Stegostoma tigrinum: one gene and its partners. The protein of the gene in region 3 interacts with the protein of the main gene of each other region in a pairwise test. Links are inferred from orthologs where the notes say so. Each region holds a gene or a part of one and is shown on either strand. Other genes may lie near its edges. The genes, in order: POU domain, class 2, transcription factor 1-like; nrf1; sp4.

Region 1 (11,233 bases), on a different chromosome or scaffold from region 3:
ACCTCAGAAAAATCAAATCTCACTACTGGGTAATATTTCACTCAGAGTCCAATCTACAGTGGCATTATGCACTTTTATACACATGCTGTAGCCCTGTAGCCTGAAGCTAAAAGGCAGAAGATGGTAGAGACTCAAGTTCTTTCATCACCACCAATTTCTGAAGAAGGGTCCTAACCCAAAACATTAACTTTCCTGCTCCTCTGATGCTGCCTGGTGTGTGGTCAAGCTCCACACCGTGTTGTGTCGGACTCCGGCATCTGCAGTTCTCTTGCTGTCTCTGTCCTTAGCGTCTGCCATTGACAAAGATACAGTGGAAGTGGTGTGTGTGTGTGTGTGTGTGTGTGTGTGTGTGTGTGTGTGTACACGCGAGAGAGAGAGAGAGAGAGAGAGAGAGAGAGAGAGAGAGAGAGAGAGAGAGAGAGAGAGAGAGACAGTGACATACACACAGAGCGGTCAGAACTACCATTTAACCGGTTTGGCCACATTTTATATAGACCTTTCATAGACATCAAGTTCTGGATTAGATTTTTATTTCCAAGAAAACAAAAATTTGAATGCATTTGTAAGACAGATTACAGAAAAATTTCAATTTGAATCTTACAATTTCTGCAATAATATTCATACTTATTCCATTCTGCATGCTCTACTCAACACAATTTGTAATCAATGTTCAAATTTACAAATTGCACTCCATGTCAGGTATACAGTCAGAGGGTGAAAACAGCAAATTAGAAATTACAGGAAGTACAAAAGAGACAAAATTTTCCTTTATATACCATTACATTCTAATGTGCCTCAAAACATTATCAATATCCTTCTTTTAAAATATAGGTTTTTGTAAGGCATACAGCCCAACATTTCTACAGTTTCCGGCACCTTGATACATTGTGGCTGGAAAGCCTTAGCCAATAATCTCTATACCTCTGCAGTGATTACCTCAAGCGTTAGTGTGTGCCTCAGCACACAGTCTTGGATTTTACCAGTGTATAAAAACTGGTTAAGAGCAACTCCTTATGGTCTAGAAGGAGATTCAAAGCTGGATCCACGAGCTCAGACACAGAAATGCTACCCACCGTACCATAAACCTCTCCATGAAACTCACTAACCCATCTATTATTTGACACACAATACCGTATCACTGGAATGTTCATTCCCACGATTATACAACTGTTAAGGCCCAAACTCAGACATATTCAGTGTAGTGGTTAAAGTAATAGATCAGCCACCCAAAGGTTGAAATAATATTATATATGAAACATAATTAAATAAAAGTGATAATTTGTGGAACCAGTCGTAAGTGAAGGAATCCTACTATAACTACAAGGGTTACACAAAACTTTTAAAATGAGTAGCAAGCAATTCAGCAGGTACAGAACTAAATGATAAATACACCACTTCCTCAGGATAATGTGGTAAAAAAATAACAGGAGATAATTACAGACGGTAAGCATAATCCTCAATTTGTAAATTTTAGGTTTGCTTCATTCTCCAACTGACCTTAGTAATTTTATTCTGGTCTTGCTCTTGATTTTGGCCTTTGAACCAGAGTTCCATTAAAAAGACGACAGCTACACGTTAATGAGACAGTAGAAACTGCAGATGCTGGAGAATCTGAAATAACATGGTGCAGAGCTGGATGAACACAGCAGGCCAAGCAGCAGAGGAGCAGGAATGCTGATGTTTCGGGCCTAGACCCTTCTTCAGAAAAGGGTCTAGGCCTGAAACATAAGCCTTCCTGTTCCATTGATGCTGCTTGGCCTGCTATGTTCATCCAGCTCTTATACCTTGTTATCTCAACTACATGTTAATAGTGGATTTAGCCAAAGACAGAAAAAAAACTTCAACATAGTTGAATCATATATTTTCCAACAGACTCTCAAAACAACTCAGAGCCCAGCAATACCCACAGAAAGAACATAAGAACTAGGAGTAGCAGTAAGCCATCTGGCCCCTCAAGCCTGCCCTGCCATTTAATAAGATCATGGCTGATCTTTCTGAGACTCAGCTCCATTTATCTGCCCACTCACCATAACCCTTAATTCCTTTACTGTTCAAAAATTTATCCAGCCTTGCCTTAAAAATATTGAGCGAGGTAGCTTCAACCACTTCACTGGACAGGGAATTCCACAGATTCACAACCCTTTGAGTGAAAAAGTTCTCCTGACCTCAGTCCTACACCTGCTTCTCTTTATTTTGAGGAGATGCCCTGTAGTCCTAGTTTCACCTGTTAACAGAAACAATCTCCCTGCTTCCACTTTATCTGTTCTTTTCACAGTCTTATATGTTTCTATAAGATCTCCCCTCATTCTTCTGAATTCCATGAGTATAATCTGAGTCTAGACAACACAGATTTTAAAAGAAGTTTGTGAAAGAAAATAATTTCCTGTAAACTATGAAAATGTCAACTCTAATAATGTAGCTACAAAGAACATTTGACATACTGCTTTTAGCTTTACAGACTTATCAGGAGTATTAATTTACAATCAAACCCAGAATAAGTTTTCTCAAAATAAAAATTAAATTTCAGAATATAGTTTATAAAAGACATTCAGCTGCATAAAAATTTACCTGGGAAAATCTTTTTTCCCATGGCAATATACTTTTTGCTAACCAAGTCACAGAGCAGTTGCAGCAGTGAATCCAAATTAATGCTTGATTAATATCACCTGTGGAGTTAAATGCAATAAATACAAAGTTGCACAAAACACCACTGATTAATAACTTTACTGCAACTATAGGTGTTTCATAATTTAAAAATCATAAAACACTGGTTAGAACACTGGACAATGTATTTTTGGGAATTGTCTCAAGATAAAAAAAATGTACACTTGTAAGTGGTGTTGTTGACCAATTTCATTCTTACGATCAGAAGTCCACAATAACCATTAACGCCAGTGAAATGATTTTAAGTAAATTATTTTACTAAATAAACTAGCAACCAAACTATCTACTGTATTCAGTGTGATATGTTGGTTTATAAATATAAACATCCAGGAGTATATCAAAATAGAATTATGAATACGCCTTTGCAATTAGTTGCCATTCTATTTCAGTAAATGCGGATGTTACGTTAAGTAATCTAATGCCAAGAGCGATTAAAAAAAAATAAAGCGAAACAAATCAGTCAAGGCCTAGATTGCTCATTAAAACCTCGGGGCAGATTTTAATAAGCATTCCTGCTTGCATTCTCCGTCATCTAAGCTCACTGCAGCTCATGACTGGGGAAAGTAAAGATGATCATCCAACTCAATAATAAAAAAAATTACACACCACCGTCACGTCAAGCTATTAAATCTATTAACCTAAACATGAGGGGCGTTCCTGCGATTTAAAAACAAACCCTCTTCAGCCTTTATTACATTCAGATTTTGATCCCGTTCAAACGAAATAAGGATTTTTTAAATATGTTCACTTTTCTCAGCCGTTCCGCATTTGCCGCACCCTCCGTAATATTTTCTATTAGGTTATCCCGCTTGAATAAACCGGGGGCTAATATTTGATCCCAAATTAGCATAGAACGTTTGTGCATCGATAAAAACAGTAGAAAATGTAAAACGCCGCGCCTTACTTTGCATAATTTTTAGTCAAAATTATCCTCCCCCCTGCCTTTCGCTTTCTCTTTATTTGTTCTATTTTTTTCTTCCCTTCCTTTTTCAATATTTTTTTAAAATTTTCTCGGTGGAATGCCCTTCGTCGAAACGACTGATCCGACTGTGCTTATACGAGAAAGTAGTATATTAAAGTTTTCTTTTTTGCTGGCTCCGCAATCAAATACAGTAATAAGGCAAAATAAATTATGCTAAATGGAAATATGAATATGTAAAATTAGAGCCATTACCTGGCTTTTCATCTTTGGACGCTCCATCCGCCATTTTGAATATCAATTCACTTTACCCGGAATTCCCCGCGTGCTGGGGGGCCCCGCGCTTCAATCAAAATATCATCAGCAATCCGCAAACTATTTACAACTCACTAACAAACAACAACACTCGCACTCGCGTTTCTTTAAAAAAAACATCATGTCCGATCGCATTGAAAACTTTATTTATTTATTTATTTTTCGAAAGGCGCGTCTTTGTCGTCGCCCCCGCCGCTTCGGTCCTCTTCGGCGGAAATGAACGGAAATTAACGACCGGATTTTTTTTAACGGTATATCTCCCCAGTTATAATGGTGGGATAGATTTGTGCGTGTGTTTCTGTGTTTGTATATGTGTGGTGTCGATTTTTAAGACCGATCCCAGCGTGAAAAGCGGTCTCCTAATTTTCTTTTTCTCTTGTCTTGTGTTCCGAAGATTACCGAATGTATCCCTTTCTGCCCCCTTCCCCTCCTCCTACCCCACCCTATCCCACCATTTCCGCTGTTGAACTGTGCCCCATGGATGCCCCTTCAACTGTATTCATTCCTCCTCTGGTATTGTATTCCGCTGTTTATTAAAATGGTCGGTAATCGCTTTCCTTCTTGGCGCGTACGGAGACGGAAATGGACGGAAAATTACGAGTGGTAGAGGGGCGTTTTTTTAACATATACGTAAATGGTTCTGGGATCGCCGATTTTAGCACATCTGATGCGTTTGCGGTCCTTTTTTTAAAAAGAATTTCTACCTTTTAAGCAAAAACAATATTGCCCATGTGAGGGCAAGGGATCCTGTTTTTTTTTGTAACTGTTAACACCTGTCAAAAGAGAAAATGAAATCACACCTCCAGTGAATCTAAACGCTGAAAAAGGCTCCCAACTGCTTGTTATTTTAGGACAATGGGAGAATGCAAACTGCGCATTTGGGACTTGACCGCCCAAATGAAAATAGGGTCGAGAGATGTAAAGCTGAATGCCTCCTGTAATCTTAATTTTTATGCTGTTGCTGGTGGCCGTCACTTTGGCAGTTTATATATGTAAATTAAGCTTTAATGAGATTTAGAATAATTCATGCAGTTTATACTTTCGGTGAGTTTGAGCAACTCACCTGTTACCTTGGAAATGTCTCCGTAGTATTAGTAGCTAAGTTTACATTTTCCCCGTGCCTTTTACAAACGTACCTTCATCCCCACTACATTAAATCTGAACGACAACTAGCTAAAATCTTAGGTTCTTTTAATGTGTTGGAGCCTGGTTACAAATATTTGTAAAATATTATTCATAGCGTGAAGTATTAATTGTTATGAAAATGAATATCCAGAATGTCACATGCACTGCAGTTAGTAGCCATATAACAATGCAGCAGCGTGGAGAACTGTTTTTAAAAAAATACATTTAATGAAGCTCCATCATTTTGAATCAAGGTGTGATTATTTCAATCCTCTGGAAACCAGAAACACAATCTCAACCCTAACTGAAGTGACTACATTAACTGAATATATGATGTCTTCTGGATCATCTTGACCTTTAAAGTGTCAGCATATATTAATGATGGGCATTGTCACATCTGAAAAAGATGATCATGTATTTAAGTCCCACTCCAAGGTTTTGCACACAACCTTGGCTGATACTTTTATTTGATGCTGGGAGATTGCTACATTGCCAAGACTTGCATTTATATAGTGCTTTTCATGACCACCAAACATTTCAAAGTGTTTTACAGCCAGTTAAGTACTTTTCTGAAATTTACCAGCTGTTGTGATTTATGAAATGCAGCAGTGAATTTTTGTCCACTGACAGGGTCCCATAAACAGCATTGTGATGATGACCAGATTTTTTAATGCATTTTTTTATTAGTTAATGCATTGATTGGGTCATTGGAAACAAAATTCCCTGCTTTTCTTTGAAAAATAATATTAAGAGAGCTCTTATGTCCATGTGAGCACAGATAGGGCCTCAGTTTAATGTTTCATTTGGTTGACAGTATCTTCAATTGTGCAATACCTCATCAGTCCCATACTGGAGTGTCAACTTTTTTGATTTTTGTGTTCAGCTCCAAAGTGAGTGGGTGTTGAACCCACAGTTTCCTGGCTAAGGGGCAAGAGTACTACCAACTGAACCAGAGTTGATCCTTTCTTAAACTGAGCCTTTGCATGCTCTTTCAGGAATTTGGAGAAGATCCTAATATTGATGCAACACCCAAAGTTTCATTCAAATACATTATCTGACATTTTCTAAGTGTTGTCCATATGCAAACTTGCAGCTGGAATTTCCCTACAATACAAAAAGAGAATTGTGATTTTCAAAAAAGAACATTTGATAATGTGAAATACTAACTTGTCAGTCAAGGGCAGTTGAAGTTGAATGTAATTTATGAACATGGATAGATGGTTGTTTAAAGGACAGGAAACAAGAAGCAGAAATAAACATAATTTTCAGGTTTTCCAGCAACTTTGTTTTTATTCCTGATTCACAGCATCTGCAGTTCTTTCAGTTTTTTTCATAATTTTCAGGTTGGCAGGCTTTCTTTTCACGGAGTGTTGCAAGAATCACTGCTGGTATCTCAGCTACTTACAAACTATGTTAATGTCCTGAATGCAGGGAACAGGCATATGATCCAAGATTGTTAAGACAAAGCTGTGTGGGAAAGTAACCAATGAAGAAGATGCAAAGAGTCTGCAGAGGGATATCAATAGGATAAGCGAGTGGGAAAGAGGTAGCAGATGGCTCAGAATGTAGGAAAATATGAAGCTTACTCCCTCTAGCAGGGAGAGCACAGCAATTAGGGACAAACAACAAATGCTGGCCTCTTGAGCAATGCTCACATTCCTTGAATGAATAAAAATAGTGTGGTATGAAGCAATTAAATGCTGATGTCCAGAACTTTGAGTTGCCCTTGTAGAAGACATGCTGAAATATAACATTCAGATCTAGCAAGCAATTATGAAGGCAAATTATACTGTTGTTCTTAGAACAGAGAACAGTACAGGCCCTTTGGCCCATGATGTTGTTCCAAACTTTTACCCCGAACCTAAGGTCTATCTAACCTCGACCCCTACCTTATACTATCATCCATATGCCTTTCTAATAGCTGCTTAAATGCCCCTAATGAGGCTGACTCCATTACTGTCTCCGGCAATGCATTCCATGCCCCTTCCACTCCCTGAGTAAAGAACCTACCGCTGACGTCTCCCCTATGTCTACCTCCACTCACTTTAAAACTATGCCCACTCGTAATAGCTACCTCCACCCTAGAAAAAAGTCTCTGGCTGCCCACTCTCTATCTATATCTGTGATTATTTTGTACACCTCTATCAAGTCACCTCTCATCCTTCATCATTCTAAAGAGAAAAGCCCGAGCTCTCTCAACCTTTCCTTGTAAGACCTTCCCTCCATTCCAGGCAACATCCTGGTAAATTTCCGCTGCACCTTTTCCAACGCTCTCACATCTTTCCTGTAATGAGGCAACGAGAACTGGATGCAATACTCCAGATGTAGCCGAACCAGGGTTTTGTATAGCTGGAGCATAATTTCACGGCTCTTGAACTCGATCCCTCTATTAATGAAAGCTAACACACCATAGGCCTGCTTAACAACTCTGTCTACCTGGGTGGCAGCTTTTGGGGAAGTGTGGACTTGAATCCCAAGATCCCTCTACTCCTCCACACTGACAAGAATCTTTCCATTAACACTGTATTCTGTTTTGAAGATTTTCCTTCCAAAACGAATCACCTCACACTTTTCAGGGTTAAACTCCATCTGTCACTTCTCAGCCCAGCTCTGCATCCTATCGATGTCCCTTTGTAACCGAGAACAGCCCTCGGCCCACCTTGTATTGTCCACAAACTTACTAATCCACCCTTCCACTCTTACATCCAAATCATTTCCAAAAATCACAAATAGAAGAGAACCCAGAACAGACCCTTGTGGTACACCACTCGTAACTGAGCACCATGTTGAATATTTTCTGTCCACTGCCACTCTTTGACTTCTCAGGGTCAGCCAATTCTGAATCCAATCTGCCACATTTCCCCTTATCCTATGCCTCCTTACTTTCTGCATGAGCCTACCGTGGGGAACCTTATCAAATGCCTTACTTAAATCCATGTGTACCACATCCACTGCTGTACCTTCATCCAAGTATTTGGTCACCTCTTCAAAAAATTCAATAAGATTTGCGAGGCATGATCTACCCTTCACAAATCCATGCTGACTATCACAAATCAAACTATGCCTATCCAAGTGATCATAAATCCCATCTCTTAGAGCCCTTTCCAATAATTTGCCCACCACTGACGTAAGACTAACTGGCTTGTAATTTCTGGTGTTATCCCTATTCCCTTTTTTGAACAAGGGAATGACGTTTGCCTCTCTAATCTTCCAGCCCTATACCTGTGGACAGTGAGGACAAAAAGATCATTGCCAAAGGCCCTGCAATCTCTTCCCTCCCTTCTCATAGAATCCTTAGGTAAATCCCATCAGGCCTGGGGGATTTATCTGACTTCACATTCCTCAAAATCCCTAATACATTTTCCTTACTAACATCGACTTCCTCTAGCCTACCAGCCTGTTTCACACTGTCCCCTTCTACAACTAGTCCTTCTCAGTTGTCAATACTGCAGAAAATTATTCATTGAGGACCTTTACTATCTCTTTAGGCTCTGTGCACAAATTTCCTTTACAATCCTTGATTGGCCCTACCCTTTCCCTGGTCATTCTCTTATTCCTTACGTACATGTAAAAAAGCCTTGAAGTTTTTCTGGAATTGAAACCTTAATTGAAAAAGGGCTGGAATGGAAGACTAGTATACAGTTTAATCTCTATACCTAAGAAAGGACATACTTGGCTTAGCAGAGGTACAACTCTGGGTTGAGAGTCTGGTCCTATAAGGGTAGATTGAATCGACTTTTTTTTAATTTAGAGCATATGGCATTATCTATTTGAAATATTCTGAGACGTTTAACAAAGTAGATTGTAAGACAGAGTGTGATTGAGCTCAGAATGTTAACTCGGCTTTCTCTCCACAGATAGAACAGAGAACAATACAGCACAGAACCGGCCCTTTGGCCCTCGATGTTGCGCCGACCTGTGAACTAATCTAAGCCCCTCTCCCTACACGATCCCAGGATCACCCACATGCGTATCCAAGGACTGTTTAAATGCCCCTAATGCAGCCAGACCTGCTGAGTTTTCTCTAACAATTTCTGTTTTTGGCTTCAGGTTTCTCGTGTCTGAAATTCTTTGTTTTGTATTCGATGCTGAGAGGTTTCTTTGCCTGTTTGGGCAGCAGTGTCTCAGGATATGGAGATTGCTGTTTTGAACTGAGATGACGAGAAACTGCTTCACTTAAAAGAACACAATCCAAAGGGTTGATTAAGACAGAGGTTAACAGATTTTTGAACTCGAAGAACATGAAGGGATGTGTGGATCAGGTGGAAAAACTGGGTCAAAAAGTGGATAACAAAGTGTGGAGCTGGATGAACACAGCAGGCCAAGCAGCATCTCAGGAGCACAAAAGCTGATGTTCCGGGCCTAGACCCATCATCAGAGAGGGGGATGGGGGTGAGGGTTCTGGAATAAATAGGGAGAGAAGGGGAGGCGGACCGAAGATGGAGAGAAAAGAAGATAGGTAGAGAGGACAGTATAGGTGAGGAGGTAGGGAGGGGATAGGTCAGTCCAGGGAAGACGGACAGGTCAAGGAGGCAGGATGAGGTGGTAGGTAGGAAATGGAGGTGCGGCCTGAGGTGGGAGGAAGGGATGGGTCAGAAGAAGAACAGGTTAGGGAAGCAGAGACAGGCTGGGCTGGTTTTGTGATGTAGTGGGGGGACTGGAAGAACTGGGCTGGTTTTGGGATGCGTTGGGGGAAGGGGAGATTTTGAAGCTGGTGAAGTCCATATTGATACCATTGGGCTGCAGGGTTCCCAAGCGGAATATGAGTTGCTGTTCTTGCAACCTTCGGGTGGCATCATTGTGGCACTGCAGGAGGCCCATAATGGACATGTGTTCTGAGGAATGGGAGGGGGAGTTAAAATGGTTCGCGACTGGGAGGTGCAGTCGTTTGTTGCGAACCGAGTGGAGGTGTTCTGCAAAGTGGTCCCCAAGCCTCCGCTTGGTTTCCCCAATGTAGAGGAAGCCACACCGGGTACAATGGATACAATATACCACATGGCAGATGTGCAGATGAACATCTGCTTGATGTGGAAAATCATCTTGGGGCCTGGGATAGGGGTGAGGGAGGAGGTGTGGGGGCAAGTGTAGCACTTCCTGCGCTTGCAGGGGAAGGTGCTGGGTGTGGTGGGGTTGGAGGGGAGTGTGGAGCGGACAAGGGAGTCGCGGAGAGAGTGGTCTCTCCGGAAGGCAGACAAGGGTGGGGATGGAAAAATGCCTTGGGTGGTGGGGTCGGATTGTAGATGGCGGAAGTGTCGGAGGATGATGCGTTGTATCCGGAGGTTGGTGAGGTGGTATGTGAGAACGAGGGGGATCCTCTGGGGGCGGTTGTGGCGGGGGTGGGGTGTGAGGGATGTGTTGCGGAAAAAACTGGAGTTGAGTTTGAGGATCAGCCATGATCTTAGTAAATGGTAGAACAGCCCCAAAGGACTATCTCCAGAAATATTTGTCAAGTTTCATGCCTATAACACAGCGACAACAGTTAAAAAGTTCTCAATTGGTTGCAAAGCACATTGAAACATGTTTTTGTTCCTGTACCACTTTGACACAGACAACTACATTACCTTATCACAAAGTCTGTCCTGGATTGTACAGCTGAGTAAGACAGTATTGTTTGGTTTCCCTGTTACCCATTCGATTGTAGTCAGTGTATCTCCAGTAATGGTTTCTCTTTCCAAATGTACCATTAACTTGGCTCCAAATATTTATTACCTTCCCCAGTTTATAATCTATATACTGTAAACTGGTGACATCATCTCAAGACACGGTCCTGAACTTCCACCAGCCTGAGACAACTCAGGAGACTTTTAAGAAAGACTGGTGAGTCCCTTCCCTCCAGTTTCAGAGTTTCACGTCCACCTCTGGCAGATTCTATTCTTGCAAATGAAAAAGGGACTGCCATTGGAAAATCTTAACTTGACAGATTTTCCTGACTAGAAACAAACTAAATTTTCATTTTTCCAATAGCCTTTATGGAGAGGAAATATAAGATCTGTTTTAGTGTCCATAAGAATTAGGAGCAGCAGCAGGTTATTCCGCCCATCAAGTCTGCTACATTGTTCAATGAGATCATGGCTGATCCAATTAATCATTAACTCCACTTCCTGTCTTTTTCCATAATTCTTAATTCCCACCCTGATGAAAAACCTGTTTTTCTCAGCCTTTAATTTACTCAATGACCACCGTCAACAGCCCACTGTGGAAACGCATTCT
Region 2 (10,865 bases), on a different chromosome or scaffold from region 3:
TAAGTTCATGCAGTGCATAATAGGTGGTATACATCATTTCCACTTTGTGCTCATGGAGGAGGAGGTGAATGTTTAACATGATTCCGGCTGCTTTGCCCTAAATACTGCTGAACCTTTAGAATTTTGTTACAGCTGCACTCATCTAGTTAAGTAGATATTTCACCACAATCCTGACTTTTGCCATGTAGACAGACTTTGGAGTTAGGAAGAAAGTTTCATAGTGTCGATGGTTTTGACCCACTTTTGTAGCCACACCATTTACATAGCTGGCCAAGTTGGGTTACTGGTCAGGATATTTATAGTGATTCATCAAGGCCAATGACACATTCATCAAGAGCATGTGGTTTGATTCTTCTTTTCCATAAAATCTTGAAAGAGTTGGCCATTCAGCTCATCGAGTTTGCTATGCCATTCAATGACTTTATGGCTCATTTGATAATCCTCATCTCCACCCTCCTATCATTTCCTTTTCAACCCTTGATTCCTTTAAAATCGGTCTATCTCAGTCTTGAATATATTAACTGACCTAGCAGTAAAGAATTCCAGATTCAATGCCCTGAGATTAAATTCCTCATGTTTTAATTGTGCAATCCTTTATGCCGAGATCACAACCTCTGGTCCCCCACAAGTGGAAGCAACCTTTCTGTATGTACCCACTCGTATCGCCCAATAATTTGTTTATTTAAATAAGGCTGCCTCTCATTCTTCCACATTCCCATGAATTGAATTCCAAATGCCCAAACGATTCAACCTCTTCTCATAAAAGACAATCCTGTCACAGCTGATATCAGCCTAGTGAATTTTTCTCTGGACTGCCTCCATTGGCAGTATATCTTTTATTAAATGAGGGGCCCGAAAACTCTTTACTGTATTCCAGCTGTGGTGTGAATAGTATCATGTACAGTTTTAGTGAACCCCGCACACATTCCATTTGCCTTCTCTGTTGAACTCGAATGCATTTTTGTGATCCATGCACAAGGGCACCCAAATCCCTCTGTTCTACAGCCGTGAACAATCTTTCCCCTTTAAATAATATTTAGCTCCCCCATTCTTCTACCAAAGTATATATAGTACATAGAACATAGAAAAGTACAGCACAGTGCAGGCCCTTCGGCCCACAATGTTGTGCCGTGGAATAATCCTAATCCAAACATAAAATAATCTAACCTACATTCCCCTCAATTCACTGCTGTCCATGTGCATGTCCAGCAGTCGCTTAAATGTCACTAATGACTGCTTCCACGACTACCACTGGTTAACTATTCCATGCGCTCACAACTCTGTAGGTGAAGAACCTCCCTCTGACGTCTCCTTTATACCTTCCTCCTAACACCTTAAAACTATGACCCCTCGTGGCAGTCAATCCTGCCCTGTGGAAAAGTCTCTGGCCATCGACTCTATCCATGCCTCTCATTACCCTGTACACCTCGATCAGGTAATCTCTCTTCCTCCTCCTCTCCAGAGAGAAAAGTCCGAGCTCAGTCAACCTCTCTTCGTAAGACAAGCCCTCCAGTCCAGGCAGCATCCTGGTAAACCTCCTTTGCACCCTCTCCTAAACCTCCACATCTTTCCTATAATAGGGCGACCAGAACTGGACACAATATTCCAAGTGTGGTCTCACCAGGGTTTTGTAGAGCTGCAGCATAACCTCGCGGCTCTTAAACTCGATCCCCCTGTTAATGAAAGCCAAAACACCATATGCTTTCTTAACAACCTTATCCACCTGGGTGGCAACTTTGAGAGAGCTATGCACTTGAAAACCAAGACCCCGCTGTTCCTCCACAGTGCCGAGAATCCTGCCTTTAATCCTATATTCAGCATTTAAGTTCGACCTTCCAAAATGCATTACTTCGCATTTATCCAGGTTGAACTCCATCTGCCATTTCTCAGCCCAGCTCTGCATTGTCAATGTCTCACTGAAGCCTGCAATAGCCCTCGATACTATCAAAGGCACCTCCAAACTTTGTGTCATCAGCAAACATACTAACCCACCCCTCAACCTCCTCATCCAAGTCATTTATAAAAACTACAAACAGCAGAGGCCCAAGAACAGAGCCCCGCGGGACACCAGTCAGCACTGACCTCCAGGCAGAATACTTACCATCTACAACCACTCTCTGCCTCCTGTCAGCCAACCAATTCTGAATCCAATATAACTTCACATTTTCCCACATTTTAGTCCATCTGCCAAGTTTTTGCACACTTGCTTTACCTGTCTATATCCTTTTGCAGAATCTCTATGGCACTACAATTGTTTACCACGTACCACTTCAAGGCTAGAATTGCCCAGATTTTGCTGCTAGCAAGCAGACTACTTTATTACAAAGAGTTGTAAATAAATGATCTTTGGACAATCAATAAACATTTTCATTTCTGATTTTATGATGGAAGGGTGTCTGCAGACAATTGTTTACTGTTAAGAAATGAAAGTTGTCCCCTACACCAGAAGAACTCCCTGTACTATTTCTCCTATGGCGTCACAGCATATTCTATATCCAATTGAACACATACGACTTGAGTTTAATATCTTGTCCAAAATGTAGCAATTTTGATATTCTCTCAGTACTATATTGAAGGTAGTCTAAATTAGTTCTTCATCGCAAAACTACGATCTTTCTGAAACAAGTACTAATAAACACCAAGCAAGTGTAACACAGATCCCTTAAGCAAATCATGAGTTAACTCTTGGTAATCTAAAAATCATCTTTTTTTTTAAAAAAGTCATACAGTCACTCCTCCATCTATGCCTATGTAATCTTCAATACCACGGATCTTTTAACTTAACACTTTTCCAATGAAATTCCTAGAAAATCCCATCAGTTAATTAGAGTTTCATGCTGACTATCCTTTATTAGCCTTTAACATTAACAAAGTGTGTTTTTTTTGTGTGCTTTAGCAGCTTTCCCACTGTTGTCTGGAGGTTAACTCCATAATTTTACTTCACAAGTGTAATTTGTAATCAGTACTTCCAAAGAAAGTTAGCAGATTATAATTAACACCTCTGCTATTTCATCATTAATTTCACTCAAGTTTTCTACCATGTAGACCATCTGAGCCTGAAGCTTTATCAGCTAAGTGAATCAACGTTTTCAATGTAGTTTATACTAGCAGATTCTCCACACCTTCCCCGGTACTCTTGTAGCCAAGGCCTACGTTGTTTTATAAATACAGGTTGAGTGTCTACAATGCTTTATTTAAAAAAAACCCCTTGCTTTAGATACTCGGGGCCAGGGGGCGAGGGGGGGGGAGTGGAACCCTCCAGTTAGTTTTTAATCAAGTAATGCAGATAGACTATCCAGTCTTTTTAAAAAAAAGATTTTCGATACTTTCAGTATCTTTTAATTATATTTTTATTCAGCATTATTCCAGTAAGACTGCCAGAAATCATTCTAATTGCACAACTGAGGGCATTCTGGCTAAGTTTGCAGATGATACAAAGATCGGTAGAGAGACATGTAGTATTGAGGATATGGGGAGGTTGCAGAAGGATTTGGACAGGTTAGGAGAAAGGGCAAAGAAGTGGCAGATGGAGTACAACGTGGGAAAGTGTGAGGTCATGCACTTTGGTAAGAAGAATACAAGCACAGACAATTTTCTAAATGTTGAGAAAATTCAGAAGTCTGAAGTGCAAAGAGACTTGGGAATTCTAATCCAGGATTCTGTCAAGGTAAACTTGCAGATGGAGTCAGTAGTTAGGAAAGCAAATGCAACTTTGGCATTTATTTTGAGAAGATTTGAATATAAAAGAGGGATGTACTTCTGAGGCTCTGTAAGGTTCTGGTCAGGCCATATTTGGAGTGTTGTGCGCAGTGTTGGGCCCCATACCTCAGGAAAGATGTTCAGACCTTGGACCAGGTTCAGAGAAGGTTCACAAGAATGATCCCAGGAATGAAAAGCTCAACATATGAGGAACATTGGAGTACTCTGGGATCATACTCAATGGAATTTAGAAAGATGAGGGGGGAGATCTAATTGAAATTTACAGAATACTGAATAGCCTGGACAGTGGATATTAAGAAGATGTTTCCATTGGTAGGAAAGACTGGGACAGGATGGCACAGCCTTAGAGTCAAGGGAAAACCTTTTGGAATGTAGATGAGGAGAAACTTCTTCAGCCAGAGAGTGGTGAATCTATGGAATTCACTGCTACAGTAGGCTGCACAGACCAGGTCATTGAGTATATTTAAGACAGAGACAGATAGGTTCTTGATTGTCAAGGGGATCAAGATTAGGGAGAAAGCAGGAGAATGGGGTTGAGAAACTTATCATCCATGACTGAGTGGCAGGACAGACTTGATGGGCAGCTCCTAGTTTTTCTGGTCTTACAACCCAACAATTTAAGAATTTCCAAACCTCTACAAAAGGGGAAGGATAGTACAAGCAAGAAGAAGAATCTGAGTTAGGGCATCCTTAAACCATTTAAAAAAGATTGAACAAAAAACAACTGACTGAAGAGAAGCATTTTCTTTTAAGAACTGAAATATTGTTTGAAGTATTCAAGATTTGTTTGAAATATAGAAATTAACCTAAACACAATGATTTCAATAAAAACTCATTTCAAGCAAATCACAATTAGGAACAAGGAAGTAAAATATTTTAAAATGTACAAATGATAACAAATCTTACAGCTACAACACCAATAAATAAACAAAACTCGCATCAAACTGCAATCTTTGCAAGGTCAGGGCTCATTTGTTTGAAGTTATAAAATGAAACATTCTCAACTGGATAATCCTTCCATTTTGTAGAACTGCACATCAATCTACAGGATTGTTAATGATACATTAGACTCTAATGATTACTAAAAACCTTTTGGGTTAGAGCAGGTTGCTTGAACTCTCGATCGGGGACGCATTTTGAGTAACAATATTTTAAGAGTTGCAGGAATAAACCCCAAGGTGTTAATTCTTTTTTTCAAAATAAAACATTTACAACGGCCCCACTGCGGACAGGGCCCAGGCTTTAGGATTAAGCATCTGCTCCTCTCTCCAGCCAGATCAATGCTCAAGAGTTTATGCATCCCCCTCCCACTCGCACGCACTCCTTTCTTCCTCCTCCCTTAGTCCCGCCAAAATCCAGCCCTGCCAACAGGCAGGCCGACTGCGGCCTAGGCCCTCTTAGTTTGAGATTTAAGCTCTTCCCCGCCGTCTAAAAGCGACTCTCAGGACTCTTTCTCGCTCTTTTATGAAGTAAAACACCCGTTTCAGCGACCGGGCAGCTTTTGGGGTCCGATTTGCGACTGCGCCAGGGCTGAAATTTGGAGAATGCGCGGTGAGCACTAACCTCAGAGCGGCTGCGCCGATGGCCTGGAACTCGGTCTCTCTGTGCCTGCGCTGCCAGCTCCAACCTGGCCCCTCCCAACCCCCACCCTGCTCGCCCCAAGCAACGCACGCACCGACCAGTGACGTAAACGGTCACCGCACCGCCCATGTACGTCACACGTGACGACGCGAAAGCTTGACGTCCAGCCACCTGCCACGGTTGCTGCGCATGCTCGGTACCATGGAATTGGAGGGCTTGCAAACCAAAGTCATCCGAATCCCCAAAGTTTTTGGGGAGCTTTAGTGGCAAAGTAGTAATGCCCTTAACAGTTCTGAAGAAGGGTCACTGGACCAGAAACGTTAACTGATTTCTCTGTACAGTTGCTGCCAGGCCTGCTAAGCTTTTCCAGCATTTTTTTTGTTTCTGTTAGTGACTACCAGCATCCGCAGTTCTTTCGCTTTTTATTTGGTAATGTCCTTACCTCTGAGCCAGGAGACCCAAGTTTAAATCCTACCTAGTCAAGAGGTGTGTAATAACATCCTTGAACAAGAGCATTTACTGCTGCCTTTCCGAAAATGTGACAAGCTCAGGGTGCTTCTAACGTTAGAATCACCAGATTTGAAGGGGCCTTTGTGGTAATGGTCCTACTTCTGAGCCTGGAGACCCAGGTTTAAGTCCCACCTGGACCAGAGGTATCTAATAGCATCCCTGAATATGGTGATATAGCAAATATATATTTTAAAAGACATTTACAGGTGCTTTATTTATTTCAGCAAGTGTGACAAGCTTGTGGTGGTTGTAACGTGAGATTCACTAAAGTTAAAGGGGTCCCTGTGGCATGGCAGTATTCCTACCTCTGAACCAGGAGGTCCAGGTTCACATTCCACTTGTTCCAGACATGTGCCTGAGCAGATTTATTAAAACCATCTAAAAGTCAGTCAGGGAACCTTGCTCCAAATAGAGGCTCTTGTGCAGTGGTAGTATACTTATGTCTTGGCTAGGAAGCCTGGGTTCAAATCCCATCTCTTCCAAGGTGTGTCAGAATGTGTCTGTGTCATAACATAGCATGTTAGTACAGGTTGAGTAAAAATATCTAGAATCACATAATTGAAGGCTGTTGTGGTGCAGTTTTAGTGTCCCTACTGCTGGGCCAACAGCTTTGGATTCAAGTTCTACCTAGCTGACGTTGTCTGAACAAGTTGATTAAAAATATTGCAAATCATAAAATTGTATGGTGCAGAAGAAGCACATTCAGTATGACTTGCCTGCACTAGCTCTCGAATGAGTCTTGTGACTTAGTGTCATTCTCCCTCCTTTTCCCCATAAGTGTCCAGTGCCCTCTTGGAACATGTGAATGAGACAAAGTGGCCTGACGTGTCTTTTCTGCTACAAAAGGGAGGTCAAGTAAGACCAGTACATTCATTTTCAAGTTTTACAATTTTTCCTTATTAGTTCGTTCCTGTGGTTACGTACTCAGATAAACCTGCCCCACCAGATTTCCATGCGTGTGCTCCAGAGCCTAACTACACGCCGTGTGAAAAGACTTTTGTCGCAAACTTTCTTCTGCAAACTACCTTGTACCTGTGCCCTCTTATTCTTAATCCTTTTATGAGAAACAACAGCTGCTGTCTGTTTGAAACTAAAACAGAAATAGCTCAGTTGGTCTGGTAGCATCTGAGGAGAGAATGTAGAGTCAGTGTTTCGGGTCCAGTGACCCTTCTTCAGAACTATTAGGAACTGCAGATACTGGAGAATCTGAGATAACAAGGTGTAGAGTTGGATGAACACAGCAGGCTGAGCAGCATCAGATGAGCAGGAAGCTGACGTTCCAGGCCTAGGCCCAAAATGTAAGCCTTCCTGCTCCTCTGATGCTGCTCTGCCTGCTGTGTTCATCCAGCTCTACACCTTGTTATCTCTCTTCTTCAGAACTGATTTGTTTCATAACAGACCACTTGTCTAAACCAAGTTAAGTTAGTGTAATTGCAGAAAATGCTGGAAACACTCAGCATTCATGGACAGAATTAATGTTTCAGCTCAATGGCAATTAGAGCTGAGGAAAGATACAACTATAATAAATATAATTGAGGAAGGGGAAGAAGAACAATGCGGTAAGATCTATTACATGATTACTTATTACATCTCTCTTTTTTTGTCTGTTCTGGTATAGGGTACCCTAAACATTAAATCTGTTTCTCTCTCTCCACAGATGCTGTCAGATCTGCTGATTATTTCCATCACTCTGTCACTGTTTAAGATTTCCAGCAACTACACTATTTTGCTTTTGTTCCAAGTCCATGCAGACAGACCCAATTCAGACATGTAAAGAAATTCTTACACACTGCTGTGGATTCTAATATAGCAGCGTATTATTTCAGAAATATGCAAAGTGTCGAAGGGTAAACATCATTCCATCAAAGAACCATTTTTCATGGAATCCAACAAAGATATTTGTGAGCTGTGGACCCTAGTGCAGATCCTGTGGCAACACCATCTATTTGGTAGTACATGGTGTCATTGAAACTGAATTCAACTGCACAGCTGCTGAGTTCATAAGTTCAATTAATACTGATTCACACACTGGTGGTGAATCTACATTGTCATGAAATAGTGCTGCAGCATAGATATTTATAGCATTCTTGAATGATATTTCAATGAGTTGGCTAGCATTGTCAGATGAGTACATGGACACGACATTGGGAGGACTTTAAACTAACTTAGCAGGTGTGTGGGAATGAAGAGAGAATATTAGAGAGGAATACCAGAGTATACAAAATGCTAAGACAATAGTCAGCTCGTAGGTGAAGGGAAAAAAGTAATGAAGTCTAAATCAGTTAGTGTGCATGCACGGATTGTAATAAATAAGGTTGGAGACACATCATTTTTCAATCTTTTCATTCACCGGTTTAGGCTTCATCCATTCAGTGTCTCTGAAGGTGTTTCTTCTTTCCTTTTCAAGATGGGAATTTGCAGAGAGAGTAGCCAGCTGCTCAGGACTTTCCTTTATTTCTCCATCAGAATGGAGAGAAAGTAGGATGATTTCTCCGTCACAGACTGGCTGTTTCTTCTGTACTACCTCAACACAAAACTGTAGCCACTCGCCTAGGAACCAGTCAAGATATTGTCACTGTGCAGAGTACTCTGGAAAACACACAGCTGATCCTGGTTGAAAAGCCAAAACAAAATCTTGTCACTGATCACAACTGCTCCTGCACACACAATCGTGGAACTAAGGTTTGTAGCAGGTCATGATCATAATCATAGAATCCCTACAGTGTGGAAACAGCCCTTCAGTCCATCAAGTCCACACTGACGCTCAGACCCACCTGCGTATAACCCACCTAATCTACACATCCCTGAACACTAGGAAATTTAGCTTGGCCATCCACCTAGCCTGCACATCTTTGGACTGTGGGAGGAAACTGGAGCACCCAGAGGAAACCCAAGCAGGCACGGGGAGAATGTGCAAACTTCACACAGACACCCACCCAATTGAATCTGGGTTCCTAGCACTCCGAGGCAGCAGTGAGCAGCTAACCATTGAGCCACTGTGCTACCTCAAAAAAAAGGAACATTTCACGAATTTGCACAAGGATGACACGTGTCAGGTAGAAAATACAATTGAGGGCCAAGAAGAATACAGAACGGTCAGAGGGTGAGAAAGAATGTGAGAGAAGCAGAAAGGAAAATTTGATAAAAGACTGACAGCCAACATAAAGTGGAATCCCGAAATTTTCACGGACACATCAATAATTTGAATAAAAGGTAAAGAGGACTAGGGACAATTAAGGACAAAAAAGGAGGTTATACAAAGGTAAGAGACATGTCTAAGGTGTTAAATGAATACTTTGCTTCCATCTTTAACAAAGAGTTTGATACTACCTGGGTTAACATGACAGAGGAAGAAGCTCTGTAACTGGAACAATTCTAAATTAATGAAGAAGTATTGGATAAGCTATTGATACTTAAAGTCGGAAGGCACCAGGAAAGAAAGAGATGCATTTAAGGATATTGAAGGAAGTGAGAGTGGAAATTGCAGAGTCATTGGCAATAATCTGTCTGTGTTTCCTAATTTCAGAAGAGATGGCAGAGGACTGGACAATTACAAACATTATGTTGTTCAAAAACAGTTGTAAGGATAAAGCCAGCAATCACAGATCAGTCAGTTTAATTTCAATCATGGAAAACAGAAGTCATGAAGAAAATGTGGGTTGTTTAGGAACAGGCAGTATGGTTTTCTGAAGGAGAACCCTTGTTTGACTGACATACTGGAGTTTTCTGTACAGGTAACCGAGAGGTCAGTGAGGGTACCACTGTTGATGTGGTGTATATGAACTTCCAAAAAGTGTTTGATACAATGATACAACATGACGCAATAGACCTGTGAGAAAAGTTATAGCTCATGAAATAAAAAGGACAGTAGCAATGTGATGACAAAACTGGTTGAGTACTAGGAAATAGGGAATAATGATCAATGGATATTTTTAACGCTGGGGGAAGAATTGTCGTGGAGTTCTCCAGGGGTCAATATTTGGAGTTAATAAAGTGTGAAGCTGGATGAACACAGCAGGCCAAGCAGCATCTCAGGAGCACAAAAGCTGACGTTTCGGGCCCAGACCCTTCATCAGAGAGGGGGATGGAGTGAGGGTTCTGGAATAAATAGGGAGAGAGGGGGAGGCGGACCGAAGGTGGAGAGAAAAGAAGATAGGTGGAGAGGAGAGTATAGGTGGAGAGGTAGGGAGGGGAGGGGTCAGTCCAGGGAAGACGGACAGGTCAAGGAGGTGGGATGAGGTTAGTAGGTAGGAAATGGAGGTGCGGCTTGGGGTGGGAGGAAGAGATGGGTGAGAGGAAGAACAGGTCAGGGAGGCAGAGACAGGCTGGGCTGGTTTTGGGATGCAGTGGGGGGGGGGAGGGGAAGAGCTGGGCTGGTTGTGTGGTGCAGTGGGGGGAGGGGATGAACTAGGCTGGTTTTCGGATGCAGTGGGGGAAGGGGAGATTTTGAAGCTGGTGAAGCCCACATTGATACCATTGGGCTGCAGGTTCCCAAGCGGAATATGAGTTGCTGTTCGTGCAACCTTCAGGTGGCATCATTGTGGCACTGCAGGAGGCCCATGATGGACATGTCATCTAAAGAATTGGAGGGGGAGTTGAAATGGTTCGCGACTGGGAGGTGCAGTTGTATGTTGCAAACTGAGCGGACGTGTTCTGCAAAGCGGTCCCCAAGCCTCCGCTTGGTTTCCCCAGTGTAGAGGAAGCCACACCGGGTACAATGGATACAGTATACCACATTGGTAGATGTGCAGGTGAACCTCTGCTTAATATGGAAAGTCATCTTGGGGCCTGGGATAGGGGTGAGGGAGGAGGTGTGGGGGCAAGTGTAGCACTTCCTGTGGTTGCAGTGGAAGGTGCCAGGTGTGGTGGGGTTGGAGGGCAGTGTGGAGCGAACAAGGGAGTCACGGAGAGAGTGGTCTCTCCGGAAAGCAGACAAGGGTGGGGATGGAAAAATGTCTTGGGTGGTGGGGTTGGATTGTAGATGGCGGAAGTGTCGGAGGATGATGCGTTGTATCTGGAGGTTGGTGGGGTGGTGTGTGAGAACGAGGAGGATC
Region 3 (10,773 bases):
TAATTCATCTTCTAAGACATCTGCATATTAATGAAATATGAAACATTTTTCACACATTAAATTTGAACCAACCTGCCTCACACTTCTAAGCATCAACTCAAACTTAATACATAATCTCTAGCCTGATTTATATACTATTTGAAAACTGAATAATAAATCTAACTATTAAAGAATGTGGATTTAGAACATTTAATCTTACAGTGTAGCCCATCCAGCAAGTGGATAATAATTAATTTAATTGTCGTGAATTGTTTATCAAAAATCATTGAGTTGAAAACTGCCTTACAGACTTGCTCCTTAATGATTTGCAGAAGAGTCAGGAAGAAATAGTATTAAAGTTTGATTTATGTCAGCAAAACAACACCACTTAAGATTTTAGGCTAACTCAAAACATAAGACAAGCTGCAGGTTGGGGGCTCTTGTGGAGCAGTGCTGCTGTGTCTACCACTGGGCCAAAAAGCCTGGGTTCAAGTTCCATCTGCACCAGAGGTGTGTCATCGTATGTCTGAACAGGTTCATTAAAAATATCTACAAGATCAAGGACAAGAAAAAAGTGATAGTCAAGTCAGGATTTCTCAAACCCATGATCCAACGTTTGTTGAAAGTTCAATCCCTCTTACACATAAAATACAAAGCTATCAGAAAATGAGAGTTTTTGTTCAAACATCCTTTAAGTTGATACTGTTCAAGTAATCAAACCAGTTACTGTCTAAAAGCAAAAACCTTTTGATAAAGTTGAAAAAGTTTTGTCTTTTAAAAACCAAAAAGGATGAACATTAAAATAATAATGGAAGGGTCACCTGACCCAAATCATTAACTGTTCTCTCCTTCACAGATGCTACCAGATCTGCTGAGCTTTTCCAGCATCGTTTTTGTTTTTGAGTTTAAAAATAGTATTTTCTTAAGCCATTATAAAGCTTCCTTTAAAAATTATTTTTAGTTGGAGATTTTGATCCTCAGAAGACTTTAAAAATGCCATTTTTGGTAATATATCTCTTACTATCAAAAGATTATACAAAAAGGTACAAATTATCAGGATGCTGAATCTTAAACCACCACTAGATTCATAGCTTGATCCTAAATATTGTGGCTTAGCACTGACAATATTTTGGTAAACCATTACCCAAGAAACAAGTACAATGCAGTGTAGAGCCGCAGCAACACAGCAGGCCAGGCAGCAGAAAAGTTGACATTTCGGGTCAGGACGTTTCTTCAGTCCTGACCCAAACTGTCAACTTTCCTGCTCCTCTGATGCTGCCTGGTCTGCTGTTTTCCTCCAGCTCCAGCATCTGCAGTTCTAGCTATCTCTGAAGTACAATCCAAACAGCCATGCTCACAGGAATAAAAATATTACTGATGTAGAAAGATTCAACTCTAAAAAGGTGCAAGTGTCAGGAAAATAATTTTGTATAGGTTGTATTGTAGAGCATCATATCAGTGGCTTAATATAAACAGAAGGAAATGTATAGCAAGCCCAGTTCCCATAAAAAAGGTTTTGCTGCATATTTTGATAAGGCAATTCCTTTTTAACCAGGTAGAGTGAAATTAAATGCCTAAAAAGTATAAATCTGAAATGAACAAAATAACACTACGCAAGAAACAAGAGAGATCAGGTTATTTGGAACTTACTTCCCCGAAGGTTGACACACACTCTCTGCAAACATCTATTATAGAAAAGATTTTCTGCAAAATGTAAATTCTGAGCAAAGACTTCACAGAAATTCAACTTTAGTATTTCAGGAATAAACTAATCCTATATTTCAATGTGAACTGCACATACAATTGTAGCTGTCCAAACTAGGTCACTTTTTGAAATCACAATTCCCCTACACCATACAAAACTACCAACAGCCACCACACTCCTCTTTCTGTAAGCCAAAAGCTTCCAAGTTTGGTTTATACAACGTGCAAACATATCTGACAATTAATTTGTAGATATTTTGGTTTTTAAAAAATACTTGATATAAACCATGCCAACCTTAAGTAATTTAAACATATCTGTAATCTTAAATGTAAAATATTTGACAAGTATGGTCATACCTGTTAGATTGGCGATGGCCACTGGTATTCCTTGCACCTGAAGTCCTCCTGAACTCAAGCTGCCAATGTTGACTGTTTGAAGGTTAGGAACAGAAGCAAGCTGCGCAGCACTTAGGTTAATGGTACCACCAGTAACAGTTACAGGGGTAATTTGGGCAATCGCTGTTTCACCAGAGTTACTTGAAGACACCGGGGTCACAGTCAGTTGTTGAGCGTTCTGGATCTGTACATTTGAAAGGTTCTGGATGTTCTGCAGCTGTATGGTTTGCCAGTTTATCTGCCCAGACGGTGTGATGCTCGGTGCCCTAATGATGACCTGAGTGGGATTCTGCAGCGTGGACAGCTGAAGGGTCTGGGGCTGCACAGCCTGCAGGGCCTGGCCTTGGATGGTGGCGACGGCCTGTTGCTGCGGGATCTGCGCCTGGACGATCTGCTGCTGTTGGAGGGGGGACGGCAGTTGGAGCTGCTGACCCGCTTCTGGAAGGTTCTGCAGGCCGTTAGGCTGAGCGGCGTCCCCCTCCCCTTCGGCGGCAGCCTGCGGCTCCTCTTCGGGTCCCACCGGCTCGCTGAAGACGGCGTCCGAGGACTGGAGCAAGGAGGCGGCGGCGCCTCCGGGCAGCGGGGAGGCGGTGCTGGCTGTAGAAGAGGCCGGTGGAGCCTGGGGAGGTGGAGATTCGGGCGTGTTGTTCACCGCCGAGGCTCCGCCGGAGATGGGCGTGGACAAGGCCTGAGCTCCGCCGTTGGAGAGGCCGCCATCCCCGGAAGGTTGGACGAACTGAATGGATCCTCCTCCGGCCGCCGCCATGTTGTTGATGGGCACGGCCAAAGTCACGCCGCCTCCCAGATTAATGGGCAGCGTGGCGACCATCTGAGCCTGAGCTCCGGAAATGTGAACACCCTGTAACTGCAAAGGGATGGACAGGCCACCGCCGCCGCTGCCGGTACCGGCCGCTCGGATCTGGATGGGCACGGTGTTAGCCAGGGGCCCGGTCTGAGGGGAACTCCGGCTCGGCGGGGCCAGCAGGCTCCCCGCCGACACGATCTGGATCGACTGCTGCTGCTGCCCCTCGGCCCCCGCCGCCGGGATCACCTGGTACTGGAGGCCGGAAGACGAGGTAGACGACGACGACGAGGAGGAGGAGGCCGCCACCACCGCCCCGGAGCCCGCGCTCACCACCATGGCCGTGTTCGGGAGGCTCTGCACCGGCACCACGTTGTACTGACCGGCCGCCGACACGATAGGCCGGATGCGGTTGGGCGATCCGGCCGGGACATCCTGTCCGCTGGTACCGTTATTGCCGCCTCCGTCGTTGTTGTTGCTGCTGCTGTTGCCGGCTCCGCCGCCGTCGCCACCTTCTCCTTCGCCGCCGGTCGTGGCCGCCGACGCCCCTTGCTGCTGAATCGCGCCTTCTTTCGTCGTTGAGGGCCCGGCGGCGATGATCTGCCAGCCGTTTCCCGACAGCTGAGCGGTGACCAATTCGAGTTGTTGTTGCTGCTGCTGCTGCTGGACCGCTCCCGAGCCCTGGTCGATAACGAGCTGACCGCCCTGGAGCGCGGTGGAGGCGGCGACGGCCGCCCCTTCCGCCGGCCCCGGGGATCCGATCTTGCTGCAAGTGGCTGCGAGGAGGGCGAGAGGAGAGGGCTGGGTGTCCTACCCACATAGACACACACAGTGGGCGGGTTTAGAAAGGAAAGAGTGGGTGTGAATTTACATTAGCACAAAAAAGGGGCTTCACTCAGGAAGTACAGAGCAATTAACGACAAAACAGTTGCATTTCGATCGTTATAACAAATTTAAAAAGCGTACATTTCTAGTTTGCTTCATCAGGAAGTAGCTGCTGAGATCTGCGGGAGAAAAATGGCTTCACGTACAAATGCAACAGAGACAAGTGGTTAGCAACATTAGTTCAGGAGCAGCAGTAGTTGTAACACAGAAAGCATTTTCATCTGAACACGTAAAAATAAATTATTACAAGCATATATTAGAAGTCTGCATTTGAAAATGGAGTTTCCATTACCTGTGAGCCTGATGTTTTGATTTGCAAATATTCACCAGGTTTCCCTCCTTCAGTTAGGGTGGCCATACTTTCCTCCTTTTGATCTGTGAACAAAAAAATACAAATAATCGTAATAAAATAAGTTCATTTTTTGTGAACTGCACGTTACTTTAACATAGTTGTCTCAATCAACCCATCAATTCCCCAGGAAGGGAGGGGAGGAAAAAACAGAAACGTGGTTTGAAACCCGACCCAGTGGATACAAAGTAACACCCAAAAGAGGGTTGTCTCAAGACAACTCACTACTGTAGATTCTTGGTGTCAGGCTGATCAATTAGGAGAAAGCTTGTCACCAAGGTAAATTGACCTTTTCCCTCTTGTTTTTTTAAGGAGGGAGGGATAGAGGGAGGGTTACGTACCACTCATTCTGCATTGCTTAAGAAGGGAAAAAAAATAAGGCCAATACAAAATGTAGGCAGAACAAGGCAGGGCTGGCCCTTTCTTTCCACGAATGGCTGTTTGCGTAGGACGGAATAATCAGGTTCCTCTTGATTGACGGAAATGGAGCTTGGAGGCGGAACCTCGAACCCGGCGACAGCACCAACGAACCCGGAGACTTAACGTTCCGAGCTCGATCCACAAGCTGATTGGATCTGTGGCCGTGGGACTGGAATGGCGGGGGCGGTGCGCAGAGCATGCCGGGGGTTGTAGTTTCTCTCCTGATAAACTCGCTGGGTGGCTGGGACCGAGGGCTTAGCGCCTATGGTTAGGCTGTCACGCATGTGCGATGGGTGCAATATGTATTGACGCGTTCCCCGCCCTAGTTCTGCCCTTCCCTCTCCCCCTACATCAGGGTAGGCTGGGCGGAAGCGAACAAAGGCGGCACTTTGTGTGCTTTTGGTGGGTGGGCGTTTTTCGTGCGCTGTACTTAAAGCGTCAGGGTTGTATTTGTTCCGATTCAGGCTTGTGATGGCAATCTCAAGTTTTTAGGAGTCATTTAAATCCTGGTTTAGATCATTGGAAGCCACATGTTGTTTTGTAATGCAGGTACAGGAGGTTTTGTGTTGCAGATACTAAGTGGATGCAAATTTTGTATTGCAGGTGCAGAGTGGTTGCAGTTTTGTAAAGTAGGCAAATGAAATTGCAGAGGCTCTGGATGTTATATTTTGTGTTGGTGATACCTAAGGGCTGCAAATATATCTGTGTGATAAACCCATTAATTACAGTTCAGCCATGAAAATATTTTTGGATAACATTGAGTGATTGGAAAAGTATGTGCTACTAAGTAAAAGTCAACATTCATTTGCTAAAGGATAATAGTCTTTGGTTAACTTGGTTGAGTTATTTAAATGAGTGTGTGTGTGTGTGCGCGCGCGCGCGCACTTCCAAAAACATTACAATAACCCTCTTTCTAAAATATAAATTTGTATGATTACAGGTATATTAGTAGTGTGAGTACTAAATTGGCTAAAGAACAGAAATCTCTGGTGGTGATGTAGATCTTTACTGTAGATCAATGTGTTGTTCTCCAGGTGTTGATGTTAGGAACAATGTTGATCAGATGTACCTGGATCTATGGGGCATAATTTTTAGGTTTGAAGATGGAAGCTCTGGATATAATAAATAGATAAGAAGGTGGTAGTAATAGACTATGAAAATACTTTATTTCAAACACAAGGCAGATTGAATGCACTGCAGAGTAATTTGAAATTAGACATTTTGGTAGGAAGAGGGGTATTTAAAGATACAGTTTTAAAGTTTGATTAACTCCTTCATTGGATGTGATCATTACTAGCAAAGCTAAGACCAGAAAGTCTTTGGTGGTGCACGTACCTTTGTAAGTGATAGTTGAAATTTTTTTTTCAGAAAAGCATTTTGAATCCATGGTGTTGCTAATAGAGATAGGTACTAAAGTAAGGAAGTTAAACTAAGTAAATCTTTGTAGACAGTGTTTACCTTTCAAATAAGGTGTTTTATTTAATTTTAGTCACCATATTTTGGGAAGGATATTGAGATCTTGCTGACCAGGTGGGTCAGATTTTCTAGAATTGTACTGGGATTGAAGAATCCATTCTTTTGAGAAACTAAAGTTGATTTCCTTCACATTGAAATTTTACAGTATGATTTAGTAGAGGTATTCAAAACAATGAACAGTTCAAGTAGAGCAACAAAAGTTTCCAGTAGCAAAATGCCTGGTATCAAGAGGGCACAGATTTAAGGTGATTTAATATTGAGGCACATGAACCAAAGGCAACATGAGGAAATAATTTATTACACTGCAAGCTACTGTGATTTGAAATCCATTCACTGAAAGGGTTTTTGGAATAGATTCAAAAGTGACATTCATAAAGTGTTATATGAATATTTGAAGGGTGAAATGTATGAAATTATGCCAGACAATGGGGTAAGGCTGAGATGGAAGAATTAGTTGGAGAACTCTGCCAAAGAGCCAGCACAGGCATTCATTTGATGCCTTTGTGATGCGGAGTCATTTTTGTAATCCATATGTGGGGTGCTGGAGCCAATTTTATGATGCAAGGAGAAGGATGAACGAATGAAGTTTCTAAATAATGTGTGGGGAAATTGGCTGAATATGGTTTTACAATACAATGTGTGAGAATGATGTTTTCCTCGTGTTTTCCTATTCTGTGTGTGTGTGTGTGTGTGTGTGTGTGTGTGTGTGTGTGTGTCTGTCTGTCTGTCTGTCTATGGGACAACGGCATTAATACATGTCAGGGGAATGCAACTTTGTACTATGCTCAGGTCGAAAGGTGAAGGTGCAGTTTTGACTGAGGTTGAAGGAAATATAAATGTTTACACTCCTGGAAATCAGTTTGGGCCGCTGGGATGCTGTTTTGATCCAATCTTTAATGATTGCAAGTCTAAAACCCGGATACATTTGAAAATACCATTTAATTGAATACTGAACAGCCAGCCAATGATGTGGAGGGCATTTTGAAGGTTGGAGCTTTTGCAAATAAATTTGTGTGAAAATACAAACACTTTTCATTGCCAGTGGCTGTGATGATCTTGTACTTTGCCTAAGTTTTAGACCATGTTGTTTTATTATACTTATTTCTGCACAGTCCTGATTTTAATTCATGTTATAAGGGATTAAAGCATAGAAAATTGTATACTGCAATAAGTATCAAAAATCATCTAGATGTATTTTTGGCTATCTGGATGATAATGTGCTTTCTTTAATTAGGTAGGTTCCACATTTAACTCAACCTCTATCGGCAATGAATATTATGTTTATTCATACGTAATTTTACAGCACCTCCCCAGTAGGGCATGTCGACTACTGATAATAACTGCAGCATTTACTTTTAGAATTCTACAGTTGGGTTTTAGAATATTTGCTGTAAAAAAAAAAAATTGCACGCTGAAACTGATAGGCAACACGATGAATTCAATTATTTCTAATATTACGTCATTAGTTGTCACATTACTAAAGTTCTTATTGAAAATAACTTCTGGAATCGCAAGAGTTGGGCTGGACTTGATTTGCAGTTGGGATGAAACTTTGGGCCAGAGTTGTTAACATTCTTCAAACTGTCAGTTATTACAATTTGCATCTTTCAGAATGGAATTGGAAATGGATTTATTTCAGAATAGTATTCCAATACTATACCAGTAATCTGTGCCAAGTCATGGGTATGGCGATGGGTAGTTCATGTGGAATGAATTTCCTGAGGAAGTGGTGGATGTAGGTACAGTTACAATTTTAAAAGACATTTGGATAAGTACATGAATAGGCAAGGTTTGGAGGGATATGGGCTAGGAGGAAGCAGGTAGGACTAGTTTGGGATTATGTTTGACACGGATTGCTGTATGACTCTAAGTAACTGCCCATGAATAGATCAGGGTAGAATATGTGACAAATGTAGGAATTGGACCAGTAAAGAGTATTTTCAAAAACTAGCAGATTATTGAGGGAATATGTGCCCCACTGCATAGTTGTGTTTGTGTGCATTGCCAACTCACTTATCATTTCTTTGAATGGCACTAAGCACAATTTTTGAATTGATCTGTACCAACATCGTCAAAAAAAATCCTATTGTTTGGCAGCCAGGTGATCTAGCAGTAAAGACACCGATGCTTTGATCCTGCATCCAGGATTCCCTTCTATGTGACTCCTGAACCACTGTCCTTGGCTGTTTCTTTATCTCAAAAAGCATGTGCACACAAACTTGAATGTGCAAATCAACAGCTGAGTTGCCCCTGATTATTTGGACCTCTGAGACCTTTTTTTTTGCCACAGATATGTGTATGTATGCTGGAAGAGTTATCTGTGTGGGTGTTATCTCGGAACAGGTTGTTTGGAAAAGATAATTGACAAAAATGGAATGATGCAATTTGCTAAATGTTTAGCTCTGTAATAGAATTTATATGGCAGGATGTTAAGCATGTGGCTAATGTTGCATGATTCAAACAAACTTTGCCCTTCAAGCCTGCTCTACCATTTTAAAAAATCATGGTTGATCTGGGGTGGCCTCAATTTCACATTCCTGCGTTTTCCCCCATTAACCTTTCACTCCCTCACTTAACAAGAAACCATCTCTGCCTTTAAAAATATTCAAGGACTCTGCTGCCACCACCTTATTGGGAAAAGAATTTTAAAGTCTCTCAATCACAGTTTGAATAAAGAAGTTCTCCTTAATGCAGTTTTAAATGGACAACGCTTTTATGTTGATACAATGACCCCAGTTCTAGATTCTACCACAAAGAAACATCCTGCATGCATCCTGTCAAGACCCCCTGGGATCATGTATATTTCCATCAAGTCACCTCTCACCCGTCTAAACAGCTGACATAAACCTAGCTTGTCACACCATTTGTTATAAGATAACCCACCCACTCCCAAGTATCAATAATTGTTTCCAATGCATTTGCATCATGTCTTAAATAAGGAGACCAATATCATACACAGTACTCCAGATGTAGTATCACATGACCTGAAGGATGACTGTGATCTTTTGTATTCAATCTGTTCTGAATAAACAAAAGAATCCTATTAGCTTTCTTAATCATTTGCTGCACTTGCATGCTAACCTTTGACAAAGTATGCCCTACGACTCTGGTTCTCTCTGCATCTCAACTCTGCAATCTTTCTCCATTTTGGTGGTATGCTTGTTTTTAATTCTCCCCAAAATGGGCAATTTCACATTTTCCCACATTATTCTCTATTTTCCAGATCTGTGTCAAATCACTCACCTATCCTGTCTACTTTCCCGTGGTAGTCTCCATTATTCCTCTTCACAGCTTCCTTTCCTATCTAACTTTGTCATTGACAAATTTAGCAATCATAATAATCAGTCCTTCACTTGAGTCATTTGTATAAATTGCCCCATCATTGATCGCTGTAGTGCATCACTATTAGATGTTGCCAACCAGAATTTTGCTGAATATTTAAGGAACAATAAACAATCTTGTCTAATAAAGTGAATTTATAAATAAAATTTTGACTTGCAGTGATTGTACATCAGATTACTGTTTCCTAAACAATCAAAATTTTCTGTTTCTATCACAGTTCCTCTACACGCGAATGTATAAGTACATCGGGGTGGCACAAGAGGTTAGCACTGCTGTATTACAGTGTCAGGGACTTGGGTTCAATTCCAGACTGAGATGACTGTCTGTATAGAGTTTGCATGTTTTCCCCACGTGTGTATACACTTCTGCCACGTGTTTCCCTTTCCTCCCACAGTCCAAAGATATGCAGTTTAGGTGAATGGGCCATGCTAAGTTGTCCCTTAGTGTCCTGGCATGTGCAGGCTAGGTGGATTAACCATGGAAACTGGTTATAGAGATAATGTGGGTTTGAGTGGGATGCTCTTCATTGGATCAGTGCACACTCAATGGGCCAAGATAATGAAATGTGAGGCTGGATGAACACAGCAGGCCCAGCAGCATCTCAGGAGCACAAAAGCTGATGTTTCGGGCCTAGACCCTTCATCAGAGAGGGGGATGGAGTGAGGATTCTGGAATAAATAGGGAGAGAGGGGGAGGCGGACCGAAGATGGAGAGAAAAGAAGATAGGTGGAGAGGAGAGTATAGGTGGGGAGGTAGGGAGGGGATAGGTCAGTCCAGGGAAGACGGACAGGTCAAGGAGGTGGGATGAGGTTAGTAGGTAGGAGATGGAGGTGCAGCTTGGAGTGGGAGGAAGGGATGGGTGAGAGGAAGAACAGGTTAGGGAGGCAGAGACAGATTGGACTGGTTTTGGGATGCAGTGGGTGGGGAGTAAGAGCTGGGCTGGTTGTGTGGTGCAGTGGGGGGAGGGGACGAACTGGGCTGGTTTTGGGATGCGGTGGGGGAAGGGGAGATTTTGAAGCTGGTGAAGTCCACATTGATACCATTGGGCTGCAGGGTTCCCAAGCGGAATATGAGTTGCTGTTCCTGCAACCTTCGGGTGGCATCATTGTGGCACTGCAGGAGGCCCATGATGGACATGTCATCTAAAGAATGGGAGGGGGAGTGGAAATGGTTTGCGACTGGGAGGTGCAGTTGTTTATTGCGACCTCCGCTTGGTTCGCAATAAACAACTGCACCTCCCAGTTGCAAACCATTTCCACTCCCCCTCCCATTCTTTAGATGACATGTCCATCATGGGCCTCCTGCAGTGCCACAATGATGCCACCCGAAGGTTGCAGGAACAGCAACCCATATTCCGCTTGGGAACCCTGCAGCCCAATGGTATCAATGTGGACTTCACCAGCTTCAAAATCTCCCCTTC

The links.
Region 1: the proteins of sp4 (region 3) and POU domain, class 2, transcription factor 1-like interact in binary tests that used the Homo sapiens proteins (3 or more experiments, as listed by UniProt). The two-hybrid records come from large-scale screens. The link is inferred for Stegostoma tigrinum from reciprocal best matches to the Homo sapiens genes SP4 and POU2F1.
Region 2: the proteins of sp4 (region 3) and nrf1 interact in binary tests that used the Homo sapiens proteins (3 or more experiments, as listed by UniProt). The two-hybrid records come from large-scale screens. The link is inferred for Stegostoma tigrinum from reciprocal best matches to the Homo sapiens genes SP4 and NRF1.

The regions. Positions count from the first base shown.
Region 1 is NC_081365.1:33,890,826-33,902,058, reverse strand, and holds the start of POU domain, class 2, transcription factor 1-like, read right to left. Parts: upstream 4,239-11,233; 5' UTR 3,873-4,238; coding exon 3,839-3,872; intron 1-3,838. UniProt on the Homo sapiens protein: Transcription factor that binds to the octamer motif (5'-ATTTGCAT-3') and activates the promoters of the genes for some small nuclear RNAs (snRNA) and of genes such as those for histone H2B and immunoglobulins.
Region 2 is NC_081378.1:16,034,470-16,045,334, reverse strand, and holds the start of nrf1 (nuclear respiratory factor 1), read right to left. Parts: upstream 5,365-10,865; 5' UTR 5,284-5,364; intron 1-5,283. UniProt on the Homo sapiens protein: Transcription factor that activates the expression of the EIF2S1 (EIF2-alpha) gene. Links the transcriptional modulation of key metabolic genes to cellular growth and development.
Region 3 is NC_081355.1:74,777,234-74,788,006, reverse strand, and holds the start of sp4 (transcription factor Sp4), read right to left. Parts: upstream 4,589-10,773; 5' UTR 4,464-4,588; coding exon 4,457-4,463; intron 4,408-4,456; exon of another isoform or gene 4,341-4,407; intron 4,142-4,340; coding exon 4,059-4,141; intron 3,692-4,058; coding exon 2,041-3,691; intron 1-2,040. UniProt on the Homo sapiens protein: Binds to GT and GC boxes promoters elements. Probable transcriptional activator.